5 linked regions of the Cricetulus griseus genome follow. The protein of the gene in region 1 purifies or fractionates together with the protein of each later gene. This does not show direct contact. Links are inferred from orthologs where the notes say so. Each region holds a gene or a part of one and is shown in the gene's direction. Other genes may lie near its edges.

What was found. The genes of interacting proteins can lie anywhere in the genome.
Region 2: the proteins of Ncbp1 (region 1) and Lin28a purify together in Homo sapiens (affinity purification with mass spectrometry; 3 studies listed by BioGRID and IntAct, with this or other methods). This does not show direct contact. The link is inferred for Cricetulus griseus from reciprocal best matches to the Homo sapiens genes NCBP1 and LIN28A.
Region 3: the proteins of Ncbp1 (region 1) and Kpna3 purify together in Homo sapiens (co-immunoprecipitation; 3 studies listed by BioGRID and IntAct, with this or other methods). This does not show direct contact. The link is inferred for Cricetulus griseus from reciprocal best matches to the Homo sapiens genes NCBP1 and KPNA3.
Region 4: the proteins of Ncbp1 (region 1) and Eif4g1 purify together in Homo sapiens (affinity purification with western blotting; 3 studies listed by BioGRID and IntAct, with this or other methods). This does not show direct contact. The link is inferred for Cricetulus griseus from reciprocal best matches to the Homo sapiens genes NCBP1 and EIF4G1.
Region 5: the proteins of Ncbp1 (region 1) and Thoc2 purify together in Homo sapiens (affinity purification with western blotting; 3 studies listed by BioGRID and IntAct, with this or other methods). This does not show direct contact. The link is inferred for Cricetulus griseus from reciprocal best matches to the Homo sapiens genes NCBP1 and THOC2.

Annotation. Positions count from the first base shown.
Region 1 is NC_048595.1:97,274,800-97,278,970, reverse strand, and holds part of Ncbp1 (nuclear cap-binding protein subunit 1), read left to right. Parts: intron 1-1,287; coding exon 1,288-1,395; intron 1,396-2,081; coding exon 2,082-2,203; intron 2,204-3,082; coding exon 3,083-3,152; intron 3,153-3,892; coding exon 3,893-4,108; intron 4,109-4,171. UniProt on the Homo sapiens protein: Component of the cap-binding complex (CBC), which binds cotranscriptionally to the 5'-cap of pre-mRNAs and is involved in various processes such as pre-mRNA splicing, translation regulation, nonsense-mediated mRNA decay, RNA-mediated gene silencing (RNAi) by microRNAs (miRNAs) and mRNA export.
Region 2 is NC_048595.1:19,275,928-19,280,665, forward strand, and holds the start of Lin28a (protein lin-28 homolog A), read left to right. Parts: upstream 1-1,583; coding exon 1,584-1,614; intron 1,615-2,075; coding exon 2,076-2,272; intron 2,273-4,738. UniProt on the Homo sapiens protein: RNA-binding protein that inhibits processing of pre-let-7 miRNAs and regulates translation of mRNAs that control developmental timing, pluripotency and metabolism.
Region 3 is NW_023276807.1:216,452,387-216,457,006, reverse strand, and holds the start of Kpna3 (importin subunit alpha-4), read left to right. Parts: upstream 1-1,465; 5' UTR 1,466-1,513; coding exon 1,514-1,828; intron 1,829-4,620. UniProt on the Homo sapiens protein: Functions in nuclear protein import as an adapter protein for nuclear receptor KPNB1. Binds specifically and directly to substrates containing either a simple or bipartite NLS motif.
Region 4 is NC_048597.1:67,976,818-67,981,770, reverse strand, and holds the start of Eif4g1 (eukaryotic translation initiation factor 4 gamma 1), read left to right. Parts: upstream 1-1,798; 5' UTR 1,799-1,951; intron 1,952-2,673; 5' UTR 2,674-2,730; intron 2,731-2,939; 5' UTR 2,940-2,973; coding exon 2,974-3,033; intron 3,034-3,300; coding exon 3,301-3,387; intron 3,388-4,425; coding exon 4,426-4,602; intron 4,603-4,778; coding exon 4,779-4,878; intron 4,879-4,953.
Region 5 is NC_048604.1:26,077,719-26,082,386, forward strand, and holds the start of Thoc2 (THO complex subunit 2), read left to right. Parts: upstream 1-1,513; 5' UTR 1,514-1,572; coding exon 1,573-1,643; intron 1,644-4,668. UniProt on the Homo sapiens protein: Component of the THO subcomplex of the TREX complex which is thought to couple mRNA transcription, processing and nuclear export, and which specifically associates with spliced mRNA and not with unspliced pre-mRNA.

The DNA of each region.
Region 1 (4,171 bases):
TCTTTTTGTATATGTGTGACTCACTTGCATACAAGTGTGGGTGGTTATTTACTGGAACATGGATGGACACCTTACTAATGGCTACACAACTAAAGAAAATACCTCCTTGCCCAGAAACTTTTAACTACCAGTAGCTCCTCAGGAAAGGGTTGGGGCCTCATGAACTCCATCCCTGTCCATGAAGGAATGTTGACCTGTCTGTAGCTGCTGTGAGGTTTTTAGTGCTGTGGTCATATCCTGTCCAGAGGATAGCATTTTTGCAGACTCCTCCCCAACCTCTGGTTCTTAGGTTCTTTCTGCAACGTAGAACCTTTGTGTGTCTTGAATAAAAGACTTAATTAAGTCTTACTAATACCTAATACATAGATTGGTAGTAATCCAGTACTTACCATAAGTAAGTACCTACATGTTGAAAATCATTTGATCACAATCTTTTTTATTGAAGACAAATTCAGAAAATTTTGGACACCTGTCAGGATATAGGATTAAAGTCTTCATCTTTCATGATTGCCCCAGTCTGGTTGCTTTCTCTTGTCCCCTGTATACCCTGCAGCTATGTAGTTACCTGCACAACCCTGTGCCAAGAATGCCTTCCCTGCTCCCCACTGAGGGCTTTGCTCACGCTTTATAACCTTGCCCAGTTGCTTTCTCCTTACACTTTTTCCCTTGTTACCGATGTCACTGGTCCCAAGGGCACTTTTTAACTTACCTTTTAGTGCAGGAGCCATCCCTTTTTGTTGAGATTGTGTTTGTCCCAAATCTGCTATTAAGTTCCCTTAAACAGTACCTTAAATAGTGCTTATATAGTCTTGGCACGTAGTCAATATCTCTTTTACTTAAATTTTCCATTTTTATATTTCAGTAAAAATTATTCCTAGCCAAACAAAAAGACCAACCTACTTCAGTAGAATGGAATAACTAGAATATCTGGCTGTCCAGGTGCTTAATGTAGCATAGCATGGAAACCCACAAAGTCACAGATACCTGTCCAGCATAAGATCTTTAGTACAGCTACCCAATTTCACCATTGTATCACAGAAGCATGGGTCAATAAGTGGCTGAATGGGTGTGAACTGTCTTCTACTGCAAGCATGGTTATGCACACTGAAATTTGAATTCATGTCATTTTGTGTGAATATTACTTTGTTTTGAACATTAAATTTAGAGACTTCTTGGCTCACAGGTTGCGCAAACGAAAAGATAATAAGCTAAATACAGACATGGGCTTTATTTTGTGACTATTATGAAAGACTATTAGGTTAATACAGATATCCTTTGCCCTCACAGGTCCGTTTTCTATCTGATCTTGTGAATTGTCATGTGATTGCTGCCCCATCTATGGTTGCTATGTTTGAGAATTTTGTAAGTGTGACTCAGGAAGAAGATGTGCCTCAAGTAAGACACCTTTATGTTGAATCTTTTCTGTAAAGTACTGTACCAGATTTTTTTCCCTACTGATAACTCTTTAGCAGCAATAAACAAAATACAATAACAGATTATCACACTGTAGTGCTTAATACCTGAAGGGCAAATCAACTAACTGGCTTATTGGTGGGTTCTCTTGACATCATTGTGTTAGTTCAGATGATTTTAATAAGATTAGAACTGTAGGGCTGGAGAGATGACTCAGAGGTTAAGAGCACTGGCTGCTCTCCCAGAGGTCCTGAGTTCAATTCCCAGCAACCACATGGTGGCTCACAGCCATCTGTAATGAGATCTGGTGCCCTCTTCTGATGTGGAAATATACATGGAAGCAGAATGTTGTATACATAATAAATAAAATCTTTTTTTAAAAAAAGATTAGTAGAACTGTATATCTAGAAATCCTCTAGATGAGCCAGATAGTTTATTTAAGCCTTATTGAAAAGCCTCCCCAGGATTGCATTTTCGACTAAAAAAGATTGGCCTGGAGAGTTGTATAGCTCACTTGTAGAATGCTTGCTTAGCATCTGTAAGAATTGAACTTGATCCTTGACACTGGAAAGAATAAATAATAAGAGAATAAATAAATAAAGCTAACTAGCATGTTTTTGGTTTTGATTTTTTTTTTTTTTTTACTTACCTTTTTAACCTTTCTTCAGGTGCGACGGGATTGGTATGTGTATGCATTTCTGTCATCTTTGCCTTGGGTTGGAAAAGAGTTATATGAAAAGAAAGATGCAGAAATGGACCGAATCTTCTCCAACACTGAAAGTTATCTTAAGTAAGGGCACAGCTCGCATGTTCTTTGTTGTTCACATAAAGATATCCTGCTGATAGGATAAATGTCTTCAGTTTTCTTTCAGTTCCATTTTTTAAAAAACAAAACCTTAAAGCTTCTGAAAAAGTCCTCTATTAAATTTCATTCTCCTGCTGCCATAATTCATTAAGATCCCAGTACTTTGCTAATGTAAGAAGTTGGTATCATGTGTGCTAAGCAGTTTTCATGTTGTTGTGAAAGGCGTAGAACACCATGGTGTAGTAGTTCCACTAGTGTTCTAGTGTTCATATGTTTATGCTTAAAGGTCACCTATAGCACTTAAAATTATACCTCTGCCCAGGCATCTAAATCGAGTGGAAGAGGTTCAAACGATTCCATCTGATTGGGTTTATTAACAGTACCATGGTATTGTTGTGTTGTGTTTTTTTAATGGTTTTCTTTATTAGTATAATAAATTAGTTCTCTGTGGATATTTAGTTTGTGCAGTCTCCTTTTACCTTAAATAAGTATCAGGGAATATTATTATATATAATATATATGTATATATATATTGTGTGTATGTCTGTGTGTATTTATGGGGATATGAATTCATAGGAATGGAGTTGGGTGAAGATTCAGAACAACTAAAATTTTGACAGAAATGGTCACATTGTCTTCCATAGACATATTCTTCCAGATTGTACCAATTAACCCCTCTGTCACCAGTGTTTGAGATACAGATGTGCTGTTATCTTGATGACAAATAGACTATTATCAAAAATGTTGCTATCTGCTGATCTGATGGATGAAAATGTTTTTCATTCTTTTAATTAATACGTGAAAACCATGGAGTGTCTTTTATTTTTCTAAAGCCTAAGTGTAGATTTTCATTTTTACTCTTAGACGACGCCAGAAGACTCATGTGCCCATGCTACAAGTATGGACTGCCGATAAGCCACATCCACAAGAAGAGGTGAATTGTTTTCCATCCTGTGTTACTTGCACAGCTTTTGAGTAGATCTTACCTCTGTAACATGCCCAAACTATATCACCAACCCTGTCAACCTGAATTCAGTTCCCAGGACCCACGGGTAGAAGGAGGAAACTGATTCCTATAAGTTGTCCTCTGACCTCTGAGAGTGCCCTATGCCCCATGTGCCACACAAATAAGTAAAACTGCAGTTTTACTCAAACTATTGCGTTTGTGTATCTTAGCTAGGTTTTTAAATATTTCCAGTGAGGAATTAATTTCCTCAGATTCTTAAGCATAGAGGAGATATTTAATATATGTTTGAGTATAATTGAAACAGCCCCTTGCTTTTTAGAATACCAGTGTCCACACACTTGACACATTTTATATCTAAATACTCAATTTTAAAAATAGCAGACGCAGTCACCCCAAATGTTCTACTGAAAAAAAGCTGCTAAAGTAAAAATGGAGAATGGACTGCTTAGTGGGTAGAGGCAGCCTTACCACAGAATGGAAGGAGAGGAACACCTTCCAAAAGCTGCCCTCTGATCTCAATGCTTGTGGCAAGAGCATGCACACTAATGCAATTTTAAATTTTTAAGTAAAAAACAAAAACTTAGTGCCATTCTTTTCTACTGTATGAAATACCAAGTTAGTTTATTTTGTCCTGTATTTTAGAGAATAGACATTTTCTGTACTGTCTAGCCAAAATGTTTATATTAAATATTAAAATCTCTTTTTAGTATTTAGATTGCCTGTGGGCCCAGATTCAGAAATTGAAAAAGGACCGGTGGCAGGAAAGGCACATCCTAAGACCCTACCTTGCCTTTGACAGCATCCTCTGCGAAGCACTGCAGCACAACCTGCCTCCTTTCACACCACCACCTCACACAGAAGACTCGGTGTACCCGATGCCCAGGGTAATTTTCAGGATGTTTGACTACACAGATGACCCAGAGGTATGGGAGTACCCAAGAGTTTCCTTTGACTTGTACCCTAGATATTTTTCTTTTTCTTTGTTC
Region 2 (4,738 bases), about 78 Mb from region 1:
TCAGGGTAAGGGATGCCCCTGAAAGCAGGCTCTGTCCCTTTAAATGGGTTGTAGTCATGGGGGAGGGGAACTGACCGGAGCTGGCATTGTCCAGTTTGAACTGAGCACCGGAAGTGAAGGGGCAGGGCCAGGGCTGTGCACTGAGCCCCGGGCCATTGTCCATCTCTGACCAGGGCAGCGGCCACCCCCGGTCCACCCTCTTTATCTTCTAGTAGGGAGTTTACCTCTTCAAATGAGAAACCTCCCTATCCAGTCCTTCCACCAGCCACACTACGGGAGGGTAGCGCAATTTAGGATGGTGACTGAGAACAGGAGGGTCTGGGAACCAGAGGGTCCCGGGTACTGCAGGAAGTGCCTCCACCCACAAATCTGTTGCCCTCTGCCAGCAAGGGGTGGGACAGGACGGGACGCGGCGGACAGGATGAAAGGCCGCTAGCTATCACAGAGGGCACTCTTCCAGGGTCCCCCTTGCTCTCCCAGGAAGCTCTCTACCTGGGACCAACTTAGATGCAGGCTTGGAAGGAAGCAAAGGATTCTTAGCACAGAATCAACTAGGAGCTTGTTTCTGATTGGGACAAACCCAGCGAAACTGAGGTTGAGACTTGGAGATGGAGGCATCTAGTTGTAGTCAGAGGCAGCCGGAGTTTGAGGGGCAGCGCCTAGGTCAAGACAGATGTGCTCTGTGGGGTCTCCAGCCGCTTCGCTGCACCCCTATCCTGACTTCCTAGTGTCCAGAACTCCAGGTCTATCTAAGCACACGGGAGTGGGGGGTGAGAGCAGGTCAGCGACAAGCTGCCGGGTCAGCTCAGAGGCCTGAGGGGGAAGGGGGGAGGGGCGCTGAGGGGCTGGGGGAGGGGGAGGGCTCATCCATTTCTCCCTTGACAGGTGGTTTGTGTTTCTGATTGGACAGCGCCACCAGGCTCACACCTCCCTCCCCCAACTCTCTGGAATGTATAATTATCTGCCCGGGGGGTGGGGGTGGGGTGCGTGTGTGTGTGTGTGTGTGCGCGCGCGCGCGTGTGTGTGTGTGTGTGTGTGTGTGTGTGTGTGTGCTTGTGCGTGTGTGTGCTTGTGCGTGTGTGTGTGTGTGTGTGTGTGTGTGTAGTCACGTGGTTACAAAACTACCCCCCTCTCAGGTCCCCCACCTGTGTCTGCATTGGGTACCCATATTGAGTCCTCAAAGTGCAGGATCCCAAATTCTGGGGGTACTCAAGACTTCTAGGGCAAAAGACCCCCGTTTCCAGATGTGTGCATGTGGAGGGGGTGTCAAATCTCAAGGTTCTGGGAAGGGACACCCCAGAGGTGTCAGAGACCAGAGCGGTGGGGGAGGGCGGGAGCCAGAGCCGGAGGGAAAGGGAGGGGTAGGGAGGGAGGGGAGGGGAGGGGAGGGGGCTGCCCGCGGGGGGTTGGGTCATTGTCTTTTAGAATTTGGGAGCCTTTGAAAAGCCGTGGGCCCTCCCACCGCTATTGTGCGGGGGAAGATGTAGCAGCCTCTTCTCCGAACCACCCCTTTGCCTCCGGACTTCTCTGGGGCCAGCAGCCGCCCGACCTGGGGCCCGGGGCCACGGGCTCAGCCGACGACCATGGGCTCGGTGTCCAACCAGCAGTTTGCAGGTTCGAGCTTACGATTTAGCGGGCACACCTTAGGGTGCAGGGCGCCCACGAGCTAATTAGAAGGGAGGTGGGAAAGTGTCCCACGGACTTGCCCGCGGGACCCCAAGTCCCTGCGGCCTCCTGCTCCTTGGGGCCATCTGTGGGACAGGGAACCCTGGTGTTCCAGTGGCTTGTGCGCCAAGCCCGCGGGGGCGGAGGGAGCGAAGAGGAGGGGCCTGTCCCGCCGCGTGTGCACCGGCAACATGTTGTGGGAAGACAAGCAAAACTTTCGGGGCATCAGCATCCTCGGTGTGAGCTTGGGGCGGCAGCCAGGGCAGGTTTCTTCTTACCAGCTGTTTGGTAGCTGCCTCCTCCTGGGTGTCTATCCGCGGGCTCAACACCGAGGTCTCCCAGACGGGTACCGGAGAGGGCCCTGTGATTGCCTGGCCCCCAGCTGATCACCTGGCCCTCCCTGTCTCCAGGTGGCTGCGCCAAGGCAGCTGAGAAGGCGCCCGAGGAGGCGCCGACTGACGCGGCCCGAGCCGCAGAGGAGCCGCAGCTGCTGCACGGGGCCGGCATCTGTAAGTGGTTCAACGTGCGCATGGGGTTCGGCTTCCTGTCCATGACCGCCCGCGCCGGGGTCGCGCTCGACCCCCCGGTGGACGTCTTTGTGCACCAGGTGAGAATGATTCCGGTAACTTAGCTAGGAAAAAGGAAAACTGGGAGTTACATATATGTGCTTGGCTGATGGCCGCTCCTGTTGGATTGGAGGAGATAAAGGACCCTCATTGTGCGTCCCTATCTGCTGGGACACCCCAATTTTGAGTTTGAGTAACTACGGTGGAGCAAGGAGGAGGCACCACTGGTTACCAGCACCCCCTCCCCGCCCCCTTCCGGGAACCCCTCCGGCTTACCACGTGTCTATTACCTCTTTCCCCTGGGAAGGGAGCAGGGGGCAGGGAGGTGACCCCATGTGGCAGAAACTAAGGTTGTATTGTGCTTGCCGGTGGGGGAGGGCGAGCAGGCTGATCAGGGAAGCACATGCAGGGCCTGAGCCGGGCGCTAGCGCCTTGAGTTCTGAATGTAGTTTCCAGGGCAGGAGAGGTGGGTCATTTGCCACCCTACCCACGGGCATGAACCTGCGAGGTCAGGCTGTTCCCCCTGATTGAGTGCAGACCTCAGTCCGGTGGCCACCCAAAAAGCCAGGTCCCGTGGCCAGTATAGATTCGGCAGATCCCGGAAGGATCAATGTGTGGGCTGAAAAGCCCCCCTAGAGGGCTGGATTTCAGTTCAGGACTGGCAGGCACCTCTGCTGCCCACCAGGTCCTGCCAGGAAGGAAAACCGTAAGAGCCCAGGCCTTCATTCCTGGATGGGCCAGTCTAGGAGACTTGGGTCGGTGCAATCCCAAGTTCTCAGTTAAAGAAGGGCTGCGCAGTGGGGAGTGAAATTCAGTGTCGAGGGGGCAGGCGGTGGAAGGAGGCTGGCCTCTTGCCCTATTCTCCTCAGCTTGGCATTTATGGCCCCAGACAGCCATTGATTGCTGTCCCTAACATTCCTAACCCTAAACAAGGAAGGGAGCCTTCAGGTTTCACTGTTATTCGCCTTACCCTCTCAACATCCTATGGACGTTCAAATGGTCCCCATGCCTCGGTGGGAAGGAGGTGACTGCTGCTCCCCCTTCCAGATTTGGTGGTTAAGGCAGGACCAGGAAAGAAGAAATTGCTAATCCCTGGCCCTGGAGCTTGACACCCGGTCCGGGCAGGGAGGGGTTACTTCAGGGAGGTTAGCTTTAGGAGCTGTGGGGGAGGGGAAAGGAGGATGTGGGGATTAAGAGTTGGAGCCTCAGGGATGGCGTTCTTGAGGGGGAGGGGTAGGGAAGGAGATGCTGGATCGACTGGTTGGAGGCTAGAGACTAATGTGAAGACTGAGCCCTACCCTCCAGTCAGGGGGTTGAGCAAGGGCAACTAGGTAGATTTGGTTTGAAGGAATTTTGGGAGCAGCTCTTTGCTGTTGGTGTCATTGGCTTCTGGAACGTGTGTTTAAGAGACCCGCAGCAGCAGTACCCTTAGCTACTTTCTTGACCCCCCCCCCATCACTACCACCAGATTGCTGGTTTCTGCATGGTGGCTTTGTGCCCCCTTCTCATTTACATATGTGAACGATAACCCACAGGAAGTAATTGTGAGTGAGAAGGGAATTGACCCCTTTGGATCTATTAAGTCACTTTATTACAGGAACCAGCTTTGAATGGCTCTCCTGCTTCCCCCACTCTCCCATTTATCTGATCACAGAGATTAAAATCTTTCCTGGTCTGGAGATGGGCTGGACAGCCTTCCCAATTTTGGGAGGCTGGGATATAAAGTAGGTATAGAGCCTTCTTGACTTCTTCCAAAGGCTAAGGAGGGAGACACTAAGGAGCATGTACCCTCTGCTCTGGGGTTCCTTGGTAGTAGAACAAATTGGAGGGCTGTGCCTCAGACTTAACCTTAGGATCCATAGCAATTGGAAAGCTATAGGACGCCACTGGAGGAAAGCAACAATCTCAATACTGACCAACTTGGAGATCTATGTCCACCAGCCCAAAATTGAAGTTTTTATGTGTTGGTTTCCTGTTTTCTTTCTGTTTTTGAGACAGAATCTCACTGTCTAACTTCGGCTGGCCTGGAGTTTGCTCTGTAGACCAGACTGGCGCCTCTAACTGGAGATCTGCCTAACTCTGCCTGGATTTGGGATTAAAGGCCCATTGGCACCCATATTTGAAGAAGTTGCCTCCCTAACCACCACTCTCCCCACACTGTAGTTGGTGTGTTACCACAGCTCATGATGGTGGTTGGGCTGGTTCACACTCCAGCATAATTTAGGCTGGTAACCTGAGTTATCTCTGAGCTGGAGGTACATTGTAGATACTGGGTAATCTCTGAAACTTGTCTTCAAAAGGAGTGTTCATGAGGTAGAGAGGGAAAGAAGTCTTTAATGGAACTTCTTGTACTGGCCGTGGGTTAGGATGGGGTGGAAGGGAAGGAATTGTCTCTGGATGACATTTGTCATGCCATGGAAAGGGAGGGGATCAGGAAAAACCCTTCCAAGATTGAGGTGATAAGGTTCCCTGCACCCTGTTAAAGATAGTGCCAGTCCACATACTTC
Region 3 (4,620 bases), on another chromosome or scaffold:
TCACAAAAGAATACCTGGCAAAGTATAAAGGAAACTGAGCAACAGTGCACATAATTCTTCCAGTCAATTACCAGTGGTAAACAAAAAAGTTCTACTAACGAAGACTGATAAGTGATAGCCTTCCCCCCCTTATTTTGTTTTATCTTCTTCAAATGAGTCATTTGACCAGATTCAAAGGACACGCTGAGGGCTTGAAGTCTAGAGAAAAATGTAAATTAATTAAAAAAGAAAAAGAAAGAAAAGGGGGAGGGGAAGGGGTACAATTAAGATAGTTAAAAAAAATAAAATAGAGAAAAAAGAGTGCAACTTTTTGTTTTCCATGAGAAAGCACTACTGGCATCAGTAGACCGACCATACTTCAACAGGGCAAAGATGGTGTAAGACCTTTCATGGACTTGTAGTTACCAACTGACCACAACCAGTGACTCACAAAACAAATGCAGGTGACAGCTTGGCCACCAAAGGCCTTTCAGTTCCTAACTCAGACCTCAGGTTCTTCCAGATTTCTTTTGAAGATTGTCTTAACTGAATTCTTTATGGTATATTTCTACCAATCTGACCTGGCTCATTTTGATCATATGTAGTACAACTGCATACAAGCTTATATCTGCAGAAGATACAGAAACGCAATATTCTTATATATAAACCAAGTCCACCTGCCCGGGGGTGGGGTGGGTGGGTGGGGTGGGGTGGGGTGGGGTGGGGTGAATAAAAGCTGTTATTGTTCCAACCTCTCTCTGTTATTTCTTCTATGACTTTAAAGGGAGAAGGCAGGCTGGAGTCTGCAGCCCCAGGGCCTGATTACAGCCTGAAGGCTAGATTGTGTGTTAAGGTGGACTAGGAGCCATGGGGGCACAGGAAGGTAGAGCTGCCAAAGTGACGATTGCACAAGGATGCTTGGGAGAAATCAGGGCATGCTGGAACGCTATTATTTTCTTTTATCGATGAGAACTTAGTAGGTACTGTGCTGACCTGACAGATTCTTGAGACCAACAAAGTCTCTGCACTCATTGAGCTTAATAACGGTGCAGGGAGCAAGGTAGCATAAGCATAAACACACACATCACATTCACATGTATCTGTGGAGTGGAAACAAGCATGCTATTTATAACACCGAGGCAGAGCAAGAGAACAGAGTTTGAGGGTGGTTGCTATTTGAGGAGACCCCAAAGAAGCCAAAAGCGCAGAGCACGCGTGGCCGTTCTTTTTCTAATTTTCCAAGCTGTAGGGAGCAAGGTGCGCCCCCAGGAGCCCCGCCTCTCGCTCCCGATAGGCCGCAAGGTGCCATCTCCGGAGATGTCCTGCCCACCACCCCGCCCAGAGGCGGGGCTTCGAGCCCGCGCTCAGAAAGCGCCGCGCCGAAAGCGCGCGCCCAGCCCTCCCGGCATGCTTCTCGTCCTCTCATGGCGTGGCTCAGACCAGCGCCTGGCATGCTGGGAACTGTAGTTTCCGCCCGCCGCCCCGCGTCAGGGGTGGTGGTAAAAGCTGCTAGGTCGGGCTCCATTTCTAGCACATGACTAGCGGCGGTCGGGAGGCTCTACGGTGGGGTGAGGGCAGGGTCACCGCGACAGCCAGCAGGCCAGCGCCCCGGCCTCTCCCGGCGCGCGCCGCTCCTCAGCGCCGCCCCCGCGCCGCGGCCACCTCGCGCTCCGGGCGTCACGGAGCGCGCGCTCCTCCCCCTCCGTCCCCTCCCGCTCGACTCGCCGCCGCCCCGCCGCCGCCGCCGCAGGAGCAGCCGCCGCCGGAGCCGCGCGCAGCCATGGCCGAGAACCCCGGCTTGGAGAACCACCGCATCAAGAGCTTCAAGAACAAGGGCCGCGATGTGGAGGCGAGTGTGCTCCGAGTCTGGCCGGGCCGGGCGGCCGGGAGAGGAGGGGAGGGGAGGGGCGGGGGCCCGTGGCCGCTGGCTCTCGCCGGCTGGCGGTCAGTCCGGAGTTGGCCGCCGCCTCGGGGGGCGCCGCGGCCCGGGCTGCAGCCGCCTCCTGAGCGGCCAACGCGGGCACCGGGGACCGCTGGGCGCTCGGCGCCGCCGCGCGGGCGCGGCCTGCTGTCGGAGGGGAAGGGATGTGGAGCCGAGGCGGGGTCCGCGGGCCGCGCGGGAGGACGGACCGGGATGCTGCCGCCCCGCGTGCCGACCGCACCGCTGGGGCCCGGCCGGCGCTCGCGTCCTCAGCCGGTGCAGCCTCCCGCGCTGCTGCACATGGAGCCTCAGTCCCCGCGCCTACCTTGTGCGAGCCGGGCCCAGGCGGGCGGTGGCAGCCCTTAGAGGGGGGTGGGGACCAGCCGGGTAACTGACTTGTTTGAGGGTGGTGGATGGGGGAGGGTAGGATGCGCCAAGACCATTTTCTTATATTCCAGTGCTGTCCTTTGGACCAGTCTTCCCGAGCTGTTGCAGCTCATAACCCCTGTGACTGCTGGCATTTGGAGCGAGCTAAAGGTGGACAATAGTTTACCATCCATTGTGTTGAAGCTTTGGGAAGGAGATTATGCAGACCTCTGATCTTGGGTTTTTTCTTTCTTTCTTTCTTTTTTTAAAAAAAGCTCATCTTGGAGTGGGAGCGTGAATAGTAGGAAAACAATTTCTTTGACCTGTTTTGCCGAAATAAATTGCATACATAGATTCCTACGTCCTTGTGTATACCACATGCCACCAGGCTGGTAGATTTTCCAAGTGGTTGCAAAACTGTAAACATTCATTGTGGTCACTCAGTTCGCTGCTACTCAGCATGTTGCCATTGTCTCATTAAGGTGACATTAGCAGCTACTATTTGCAAACTCTGCTTATTGAGGTAGCGCTAGAGGTCTCTCTGCTCCTACTAAAACCAATGAAGTGTAATAGCACAAACTTCACTGGAACTCGACCTCTGAATTTGAGGGGGGAAGGAGTTTTAAGCCTATACCCTCTTTTCTATTCTAATAGTAGGTGATGGTTTGTATAGTCCTGTAATTTTTGGTAAGAGGCTAGTAAATACAGAGTTTGGTTTAGTAGAGAAGCAGGTGAAGCTGGGACATTTCTCAGAGCTACAAAATTAGGTATGAATTGGGAAAAACCTGGGGGAATATCTGTGGAATTCCCATTTGAGTGAGACTACAGGTCCTTTATCTCTATCCTGATCACATCTAAGTTTCCTTTTGGAGAAGTACTTCCAAACAAAAGTGAAAGCTAACAACTGGAACAGCCATCAGTCTCTATTTTTTAATAAGACTTGGTTTTTATCTTTTCTTCACCAGTAGTTTTTCTGTGTGTGTGTGTGTGTGTGAGTGTTACACCAGTAGTCTCTGTTGCTTTTTGTTGTTGTTGTTGTTGTTTGTTTCCTTTTTGAGACAGGACCTCATTGCAGAGCAGTCTGGTCAAACACACAAAATAATTCTCCTGCCTCAGTCTCCCAAGTGCTGGGATTACAGGCATGGGCTACCACACCCAGTTCCACAAGTAATTTTTCTTGAGGCTATCTTTTATTACTGTAAGCAAAACTGCATAGTTTGTGTGGATGTATTGCTCCTATTGCTTGTACATTCTTTACTTTTCTGGATGTTGGTGTAAGTTTTAGTCACAATTCACTTCTAGTATGGTGTCCTATTTGTTTAATGATACCTAATAAGGACTTTTTCATGGAATAGATCCACAGCAGGTACTTGCATGAAAAGAACAGTATAGTTGCCAAGCCATTGATTTTGTTCACAACATTACATTTTAAGGACATGTTAGGATAACTAAGACATGAAACAACAGGCATTCAGATGGTAGTTCTTTGTGTCAGACACTATGTTGTACCAAAAGTTTGCTACCTCATTTAATCCTTACTAGTTAGGTGTGACATTGTCTTTACTTTATCAGGGAAAAAAGTACTTTGACACAGAATGTCAGCATCCATGTAATGTGCTGGTCATGTCTGAGCATTCATTTTCTAAATGACTATTAGGTGCCTATAATGCTCAGCCTTCTTCATACAAAAGGACCTAAGATTCAGTTTGGCTTGAGCTTATAGTCAGTGTGTGAGAAAAACCTACACTGGATCAGGAGTGTTGACTTCCAAACAGCAGTGAGATCTGTTGATTCCTAATAGATGAATGGGGATGAACTGATCCTGAAGAGTCAGAGAAGTCTGGGCGCACATTCAGTAATTCCAGCACTTGGAACTGGGAGGCAGAGTGTTAGGAGGTCAAGGTCATCTTGGGCTACATGATACCCTACCTAAAAAATAAGTGAATGAAGGGTTGTAGTTGGGGAAGGGTAAGGGCCGGAGAAGGTGGGAGGCATTTGGAATTTTATTAAGTATTAATTGAAAAGTCCCAGTTTATGCAGTCAGCTGGTAAACAAGGAAAATAAGAAGGCAACCTTACTTATGTGAAGGGTTGTGAGTGAGTGGACAGGGTTGTAAAGAGATCTTGTAGACATTCATCAAGAGTGACTTCATAAGAGAGCTTTGGAGAGACAAAATGAAGTGATGGATCTTACAGGAAATATATATCAAACTTGAGATGGGCAGATGAAAAATTAGTGAATAACATCACAGGTGAAAAAGAGGTGTGTCTCCAAAGCTACACAGAGAAGCCCTGTCTCGAAAAACAAAAAACAAACAAACAAAAAAAGAGGTGTGACTATATTGGGGATGAACC
Region 4 (4,953 bases), on another chromosome or scaffold:
CCATTGAGATGGCCTAGGGCCAGAGTGAGGTGTTATAGGCCTGTAACCACGGCTACTTGTGAGTCTGATAGAAGATTTACTGCTGGTCTGGGCTACATAATACATTTAAAAGTACCTGGACAACATAGTGAAGCCTTGTCTCAAACAAAAGGAGAACTGGGGATATAGCTTAATGGAGTGGTTGCCTTTGAGTGCACAAGGCCCTACGTTCAGTGCCCAATAATGCCTGCCCCCTTCCCAAAGAAAGTGTCTAAGTACCTAGATCAGGCAGGGGAGTCTGAGACTAGGAGAAAGATGGACATAGAGAGGCAAAGTCAGTAGGATGTGGATTGGAGTAGCAAAGGCAAACAGGAGGAAAAACTGTTTGTTTCCAGAGACCATGCTTAGTTTTGCTTGGCTAAGTATATAGAGTCCAGGGAAATGTGGGAAAAGGAATTAAAGCTAGAAATTTAGGCTTAGGTTGGGCAGTGATGGCACATACCTTAGTCCTAGCACAGAGATCTGACTGCCTCTGCCTCCTGAGCACTGGGATTAAAGGCATGCCCAGCAACTTTTTGTTTCCCTTCCCTCTTCTACCACTCCCCCACCCACAGTCTACTCATACAGCAATTGATTTTTGTTTGTTTTTGTTTTTCAAGACAGGGTTTCTCTGTGTAGCTTTGGAGCCTATCCTGGCACTCGCTCTGGAGACTAGGCTAACCTTGAACTCACAGAGATCCGACTGCCTCTGCCTCTCAAGTGCTGGGATTAAAGGCGTGCGCCACCAATGCCCAGCCCCTGGACAGATTTTAATGTGAATCTTGAGGAACAGACTGGGATTAAAGGCGAGGGTTACCACCACCTGGCTTGACTCAAGTTCCTTTTTCTGTGTAGACTGGGCTGTCCTGGAACTCCCCCTGCAGACCAGGCTGGCCTTGTACTCACAGAGATCTGCCTGCCTCTGCCTCCTAAGTGCTGGGATTAAAGGCCGGTACCACCACACCCAGCCAAAAACAAAACAAAAGAACAACTAAAAAGACAAGATCGTTAAAAGCTCAAACTTGAGCTAGGCTGGTTTCAAATTTTTAAAATTTGTTCCTATTTTTTAAATTTTATTTTTAGTCATTTGTATGAATGCTTTGCTTACATGTATGTCTGTACCACATGCAAACCTGGTGCCAAAGAGGCCAAAAGATAGCATGATGAGCATATAGAATTAGTGTTACAGACAATTGTGAGCTACTGTAGTGGTAGTGGAATTGAACCCAGGTCTTTTTGAAGAGCTGCCAGTCCTTTAACCAGTGAACCATCATGCCAATCTCCCTGCCTTAGCCTTCAGAATTCTGGGGATCACAGACATGCATGCACCTGTACACTCGACTTTTAGAATTGTTTCTTCCTAAAGTTTTCGTGATTGATTTTTGCCTTTCCCGAGCAGCAACTGGTTTATTGTAAACAGTGAATGTAAAATTGCGCCTTCAGTTAGAATGCATCACTTCTTTTGGTGCAGCATTCATTTTCTTGTTAATAGGACTATCAAAGATCAAATCTACAGCATTTTCAGAGGCTACATAATTTGTAGTGTACCATTTACAAGGACAGGACTGCATTTAAATTCAGCACTCTCAGCTCCCGGGCGGCACTTAGCACTCACGCGCTCAATAAATGCGCAAAGTATGAATGAACTAAAGAACCGCCAGAGCCTCAGAGGGGGTCGGCCTGGGAGTTCCAAAGTTCGGGAGGGGACACGAGGGCGGGCAGTGCGCGTCACGTGACAGGGCGGAGCAAATCCCATGTGCTTCCCCAGCGCCAACGCGGCTCCGCCTTCTGCGCCGGTCACGTGGGGCGCCGGCTGCGCCTGCGGAGAAGCGGTGGCCGCCGAGCGGGATCTGTGCGGGGAGCCGGAAATGGTTGTGGACTACGTCTGTGCGGCTGCGTGGGGCTCGGCCGCGCGGACTGAAGGAGACTGAAGGTAAAGCCGCCATGTCCGGGCCCGACCCGGCCCCACCCCTCCCCCCGCATCCGCCGCCATCCGGGCCGGGGCCGCCACCCTGCGCCGCCGCCCCGGCGCCCCGGCCCGCGCCCGCGCCCAGGCCCTACTCGCCAGGCCGATCCCCGGCCCACGTGTGCCGGGCCGGGCCCGGGTGGGGGTGGGGAGCAGGGCCCGGCCGACCCGGGAGGGGAGGGCGCTGGGGCGGCGGCGCGACAGCCACCTTCGCTGGGCCGGGGACGTGGCCCGGCGCAGGCTACGCGGCGCAGACCCGCCGCCCCCTCCCCCTGCGGGGCCCGGGCGGCCGCCGGGAAGTGACACGTTGTTCTTTGGCACTGGCCGCGTTGCGCAGGGCAAGGAGGCGGCGGCGGGCAGGGAGGAGCCCCCAGCCCCGCCCGGCGGCCGACCCTCGTCTGCCCCGAGCGGCAAGGCGGCCGTCGCCGCCAGCCCTGCTGGTAGGGCCGGGCTCGTGCCCTTCCTGGCTCGTGTTCCCGGGCGGTCTCAGGCCTCTTCGGCCCCGTGCGAGTGCCCCGCGGCAGGCTCCGAACCCGGTGTCCCCGGGTGGGGGGTGGGGACACCACGGCCGAAGCAGCCGGCTTCATTTGTGATCCGGGAGCCTGGTGCCAGCGAGACCTGGAATTTCCGGTCTGGTTGGTCTTGGGCCCCGTGGAGCCAGGTTGATACCCCTCACCTCCCAACCCCAGGCCTTCGGATGCCCAGAACCTGTAGGCCGCACTGTGGACTTATTCTTAACCGAGGGGGTGAGTGAGGGGGCTGTTTGAGCAGGCAAGGGTGGGGTCGGGGTATTGCGGTGTGTTGGTGGGATCCACAGTCTGGATCACTTGTGTTTCTGCATTCCCTTGGCACCTCCCTTGATCCACGTTACTCTTAGCTCTTGATACCTTTCCCCCAGCCCATTTGCCGTAAGCTCGGGTCCTTTCCCGGTTCCGAGCTCTGTTCTTTCCAACAGGTGCTGGGGGGACCCTGATGTGGCACCAAATGAAATGAACAAAGCTCCTCAGCCCACAGGCCCCCCACCCGCCAGGTCCCCTGGACTCCCACAGGTAATCGAGGCAAAATGAGCAGAACTCTGGTTGGGGTGGAGGTCATGCAGCTCTCAGTTTTCCCACCCCCATCTGTGTCAGGGCAAAGTGCAGCTGCCTGCTGCCAAATTGAGATAGGGCCCCTGGCTGTCCCTGGGGCTGTCACAGGGAGGGAACATGTGGACTGCTGAGGCTTTTGCTGCAGGTCTGCTCCCCCTATTTCACCAGCTTGGGTTTCGGCCCCACCCAGGCTTCCCCTCTTGCTGAACTCTGGTCTCTCCCCTTCAGCCAGCGTTTCCCCCGGGGCAGACTGCACCGGTGGTGTTTAGCACGCCACAAGCGACACAAATGAACACGCCTTCTCAGCCCCGCCAGGTGAGGGGCTGTGGTTAGAGTAGGTCGCTGGGTGGGAACTGGGAAAATCTGGTTTGGGACTAGTATGGAAACTGTGGAGGCTGTGTACTTGCCCCCAATTTCCTGACAGTTGCTCTGAATTCTTTCGTGCTGTGTTAGTTATGGTGGCTCACCCTTTGTGAAGTTTGTAGTCTATGAAAGTGGCATTACTGGGTCTTCATGCCTTTGACAATTGGGGACAGTGCTGTGGGTCTTGCTGCCCGCTCTTTCCTGTGACTAGGAGGTTGCCATTGCCCTGTTCCTCTTCGCTTTCTCTTTGAACTGTGATGAGATGAACTTTCCAGCTGCGCTTTCATTTTTTTCTGTTCTCCAAGTTCTTCCCAAGTGGAAGGATTCTTTTCCTACCTACTCCACTCCCCCTAAACCCCTTCCATCACCTTGGGGATAATTGTCGTCTTTCCTGTCCCCATGTGCTCTCAGGGAGGATTCAGGTCTCTGCAGGTAATACCCCTTTCCTAATCCTGAGCAACCTCTTGGTGTTACCCCATCCTCTACCCTAGTCCATAGCTAGACACAGATGGGATATTCAGGGTGGGGCCTTGTTTGATGTTGAGGTCTTCAGTTTGAGTCCAAATACTGCATGTTAGAGGTTAACTGTTGGAGAGCAAGTATCTCAAAACTGGAAGATTGTTGCATGTAGCAGTTAATCAGTATTTGAGGTGGAATAGTGCATGCTGGGAAGTATGTTGCCCTCGAGGGCCTTACTTAAGCATGATGCATCTTGGTGTTAGGAAGACTCTAGAGGGATCATCTAGAGGTGATAGAGTATGCATGGCAGTGAGAGAGTACAGGATACAAAGTATTCATCTAAGTTTCCAGACAAGTTTTAGACCAAGAGGCCACTTAGCCATCAGTTCATGTGGGTTTTGGAAGGATTGGTCTCCATGCTCTGAAGCCTACAGTACTCTGAGATTGTATGTACATTGTGGAATGGAATGCTGATTTTAGTGTTGACTCCCTCCCCTTCTTGACCCCAACTGCTTTCCTCCTTCCTAATAGCACTTCTACCCTAGCCGGGCCCAGCCCCCGAGCAGTGCAGCCTCCAGAGTGCAGAGTGCAGCCCCTGCCCGTCCTGGCCCAGCTACCCATGTCTACCCTGCTGGATCCCAAGTAATGATGATCCCTTCCCAGATCTCCTATTCCGCCTCCCAAGGAGCCTACTATATCCCTGGACAGGTGAGGCTGGGGGCTGGAAGCCAGACCTCCTATCTGGTCTTCTAGATCCATTTCTCCTATGGAGGTGGGACTTGTAGTCATTGCCCAGGCTTAGCTTACCCTACTTACATAATCTGACGTATTCGTAGCTTTCCTCATCTCCTTCTTTTCCCTCCTCTCTCCCCAACCCCCATCAGGGGCGTTCTACGTATGTTGTCCCAACACAGCAGTACCCTGTGCAGCCAGGAGCCCCAGGCTTCTATCCGGGTGCAAGCCCTACCGAGTTTGGGACCTACGGTAAGCAGGGGTGAGAGTGCGTCCTACGGAACACTTAAGTGGTCTGCTTTCTAAGACCTTCCTGGGCATGCTTTT
Region 5 (4,668 bases), on another chromosome or scaffold:
ATTTCTCATGCCCACCTGCCCCCCCCCCCCCCGTCCAACCAGTACATCTCTATTCAGTAATACCCTTTATTGCAAAAGAAAAAAAATGATTTTTTGGGGGGGAGGGGAGGGCATCTCTTATATTTCTTGTCTCCATTAATCTTTTTTTGAGATAGTCTCAGTATATAACCTTGGCTGGCCTGGAGCTTGCTATGTAGATGAGGCTGGCCTTGAACTCACAGAGATCCTTCTGCTTCTGCCTCCAGTCTTCATAAATCTTGAAGGATTACTATCTTCTATGAGCTTGACAATTTTGAAGAGTGCAAGTCAGCGATGTTGTAGATGGTCCCTCAAGGATGGGTATGTCTCCCACTCCTACAATATCAAATTAACATGTGAAATTTGGACATTAACAATTCCCACCTGGGCAGTGGTGGCACACGCCTTTAATCCCAGCACTCGGGAGGCAGAGGCAGGCAGATCTCTGTGAATTCGAGTCCAGCCTGGTCTACAAGAGCTAGTTCCAGGACAGCCTCCAAAGCCACAGAGAAACCCTGTCTCGAAAAAAAAAGAAATCCAAAAAGTTGCTTAGTGTTTTTTTTTTTTTTTTTCTGGCACACCATTGGAAGTCCCATGGTGTCCATTTCTTCTAGCTCACTTGCCCACCTTGCCTATTTTTAGGCTGGTGGGAAGTAGCTATGCTCCTGCCTCAGGTTCCTGAGTGTTGTAATTCCCTGTCTGGTTCACGTGTCATATTTCTGAGATACTTTAGTCTTTTTTCCCCCAGTGGTGAGGTTCCAGACCAGTGCCTGGTGCAATGTAGGCAAGTGCACTAGACTCGAGCTCCAGCTCCAACTCTGGCAAAATTTGTTTTTCACCAACACAGGGTGGTATCTTCCATATTTTCCTCCGGGAACGTTTTTCCTTTGTAATAACAAGTATTTTGTGGAGAGATTTTGAGACTGTAAAAAATCGTTTCTCATAGTACTAATGCTTGTTAGTTTGACAGCTAAAGTAAGGAGTAAGAATTGAGGCATCACGTGTTTCCCGGGGCCACCTTTTATCCATTATGAGAGCATGTTACTTGTCATCGCACGTATCGCTGCCCTCTCCGTGACAGTTTTCTACCAGTAGTTAGTTGAGCTATTTCTTATCTCATGTTCCTGTTTTCCAGAGGGTCATGTCATTCAGGGCTTACAGTTTCCGTATCTTCTAAGCCTAACATACAGAGAGCTTGAAAAATTATGCGTTTGAATTAACGGCTTGGGGTAGATATTACAGGAGATCGTAAAGGCTACACGCGGTCCCGGGCTGGCATTTTGTTTTTATTTTTATTTTTTTAATTCCAGAGGGGCAATAAAACGCGAAGACTGTGTCGAGGGCGCGGTCCGGGCAGGTATTAGCGAAAGGGACCTCCAGCGCCTGCTACCTCTTTGTCAGCAAGGCCCGGGGCTTCCGCTGGGTGGGGAGGTAGGTGGGGCGGGAAATCTAAACGCGAACTCCCAGCTTCCGTCACTCCCAGTGGGCGGGGCTCCCCTTTGACCTCTGGCTCGCTCGCTACACATCCGGGCCACTGTTACTAGCGAGGGGAAGATGGCGGCCGCGACTGTGGTGGTTCCCGCAGAGTGGATAAAGAATTGGGAGAAATCAGGGAGAGGCGATTTGTGAGTGTTCGGGCCTGGGGCGGGCGCTGCGGGAGCCGGAGGCCGGGGCGTTGGCCACCTTCGGAAGTGGGGTACAGGGGCCGGGGGGGGGAGGAGCGGCGCCCCCTCCCCCACCCGGGCGGCGATTGGGGATGGTTCTTTAGGAGTTTCGAACTGTGGGACGAGCGGAGCCGGTAGCCTCCGCCGAGCGCCTCCCTTCCCCGACCTCCCCGACAGCCCGGCGCTCCAGCGGAGCCTGGCTTCCTTTATAGTCTCTTAAGGCGAACTTCCGTCTTGTCCCCCTCGGGTCCCCCTGTGCTCCCGCTGTCTCTTTTTGTCCTGTCTCTTTCGTTTTTAACTCCGCTCACTTCGGCTGCTTTTCTGGCCGTGGGTTCGCGCCCGGGGACCGTTGGGTCCGGACTTGACAGTTTTTTTTTTTTTGTTGTTTTGTTTTGTTTTTTTTTTTTTGTTTTTTGTTTTTTTCTCTCTGTCCCATTTCATCACTCTGCCCCTAAAGCGGCTCCCGCAGTTTGGCGCCCGGCCTCTCCTGTGCCCGAAGTCTGAGGAGGGCGAACTGTCCCGAACTCTTCTCCCGTTCTAGGCGCCAGCGGCTGAGGAGCACGGAGCGTTGGGGACAGCCCGGCTTAGCACCTCTGGTTTCTTGGGGAGCTCCAGCTTGCACTGTCCTGGCCCTGCGGTCCTTGGTGGTGGTGGTGGGGGGGAGTGTGGCAGGGATTGCCGCTTTTGCCAAGTCCCTACCGGCATGTCACCTCCGATGGTTTCGGGTTGGATCCAACTTTTCATCATCAAGTGTTGATGAAACCCCCGTTTTGGCGTGGGACGCTCGCTCATTCTGGTTCCCCCTCGAAGCTTTTTTTTTTTTTTTTTTAGTACTTTAGGATATTTTCTTTCCTTTAAGTCTTAGAAACTTATTTTGGACCCCCCCCCTTCCTGGTAATTTGTCACGGTAGAGGTTTTCTCTCCCCAAATAGCCACCCCACCCCCACTCCCCGTTTAAATAGTAAAATTGACCATAGATTTGAAAAAGAAAAAAAAAAGTTCTGATTTATTCTTCTGAATCGCGTTCGAAGCTTAGCAGTCCATCTTGAGTGAGATGAATTCTTTTTAGCTGTTTGGGTTGTCTCCCGCCACTCCTCCACTCCGATCCAGTGTCAGGTTCCCGATTGATAGCGAGAAGACAGGAATCTTTCGAAACTTTGTTACTTCAAGCGAAGCACGAAGCACCAGACATGCATTGCAGGCTGGTACTCTTGTAAAATGACTTAACTCCCGCCGACAGCTCCCTTTGCTGTTCCATGAAACTTAACAGTGTGAGTCCTAGAATTGGATTGTGGGAATAAGCGGCTAGCTTAGCCCACTTAACTAGCTGAGTGACCTTGGTAAATTCTTAACCACTTTGACTGTTTTCCCTTGAGTAAACTGGGAATAGTAAGCACGCTACTCTAGAAAGCACTTGGCTTATAGTAAGTGCTCAAGTGATAGCTATTAAAACTAATATTATTCCAGCTTTTAGATATTTAAACTTCTCGGGACAACTCTTGCACTTATAGGCTTTACCTCTTTGGTTAGCAATTAATTGGCCTCTGGCTTCATGTGTATTTACTCTTGTATGCCAATAAATTCAGAGGTTCTTGAAGAAAAGCGATGCTGTCTCTTATTTTATTTATTTATTTATTTATTTATTTATTTATTGGTTCAACATCTCCTCTAGCAAGTGTTTATAGTGCCCTAGGGTTTTGTTAACTCACAGGTATGTATGTCTCACATGTAAGATAAGCATTTTTAATTTTTATGTGCTATTTAATAAATACCTGTCAGGTGCCTTGCGTGCTGAGAAGGCAGAATGGGAAGCAACTCAAGTAAACCATCCTATATTTGGGGGTAATCCTCCCCAAACAAATAATCCAGTTCATCGTTGTTTACTGTCTAAAACCTATGTATTCATTATGGACGGTCATTTTTGTAGGTGGCTCAGCTTCCTCCTGCAGGTGGATTGTGTGTGTGTGTGTGTGTGTGTGTGTGTGTGTTTGGTAGTAAGTGCTCCATCAATGAGCTACAACCACAGGCCTAGCTGTTTTTTTTTTTAACAGTTTAATTTTGCTTCCACCTTAAAATGAATATTAGGAATAGGACGAGTTGTGTCTGCTTTGCTTCTGACGGGTTATGTTTGGAGAAAAACTTTAAGTGTATGTGAAGGCAAGAATATCTAGTTAAAATGTAATTTTGAGTTTATGTATTTTTACATGTTCCATGCTACCTAGTGTTAAAAGAGCTACTTAAAACTGAACTTAGGATATCCATGTTTGTGTTTTATTGCATAGCTTGTGGAATGTGGTTTGAATTATAGTAGATTTGAATCAGTGTGATCAGCTTAATGATTATATATCATTTCTGTTATATTAAGAGGATTTATCTCATTTTTTTGATATAGTGACCTTGTAGCCCATGCTGACCTTGAATTTATAATCCTCTTCTGGGTGCTAAGATTATAGGCATGTACCACTATACTAGCTGAGAATTTAAAGTTGGATGGCATAGTTGGCTGTGGTGGCTAACACCTGTAATCCTAGCACTTGGGAAGATGAGGGAGGAGTCCCATGAGTTTGAGGGCAGCAGGGGTTACATAGTGAACCCTTTTCTCAAAGAAAACAACAAAAGTCAAAAGAAAATTACAGCTATATAGATTGGAGAGACGTCTCAGAAGGTTAGGAGGGCTTACTGTGCTTCTAGAGGACTTGAGTTCACTTCTCAAAACCCACACCTGATGGTTCAGTTACCTGTAACTCCAGCTCCTGGGGATCTAATACCTCTCACCTCTTCAAATACCTGTATTTTACACACACACACACACACACACACACACACACACACACACTTAAAAATATCTAAAAAATCCCCAAACTGAAGCTATATAGTATAATGAAATATTTAAGTTTTTCCTTATTGGTAGATGAACCTAGAAGCCTTGTACATACTAGGCAAGTACTATTGCTGAGGTATATCTTCAGGCCTTTACAAAGTTATT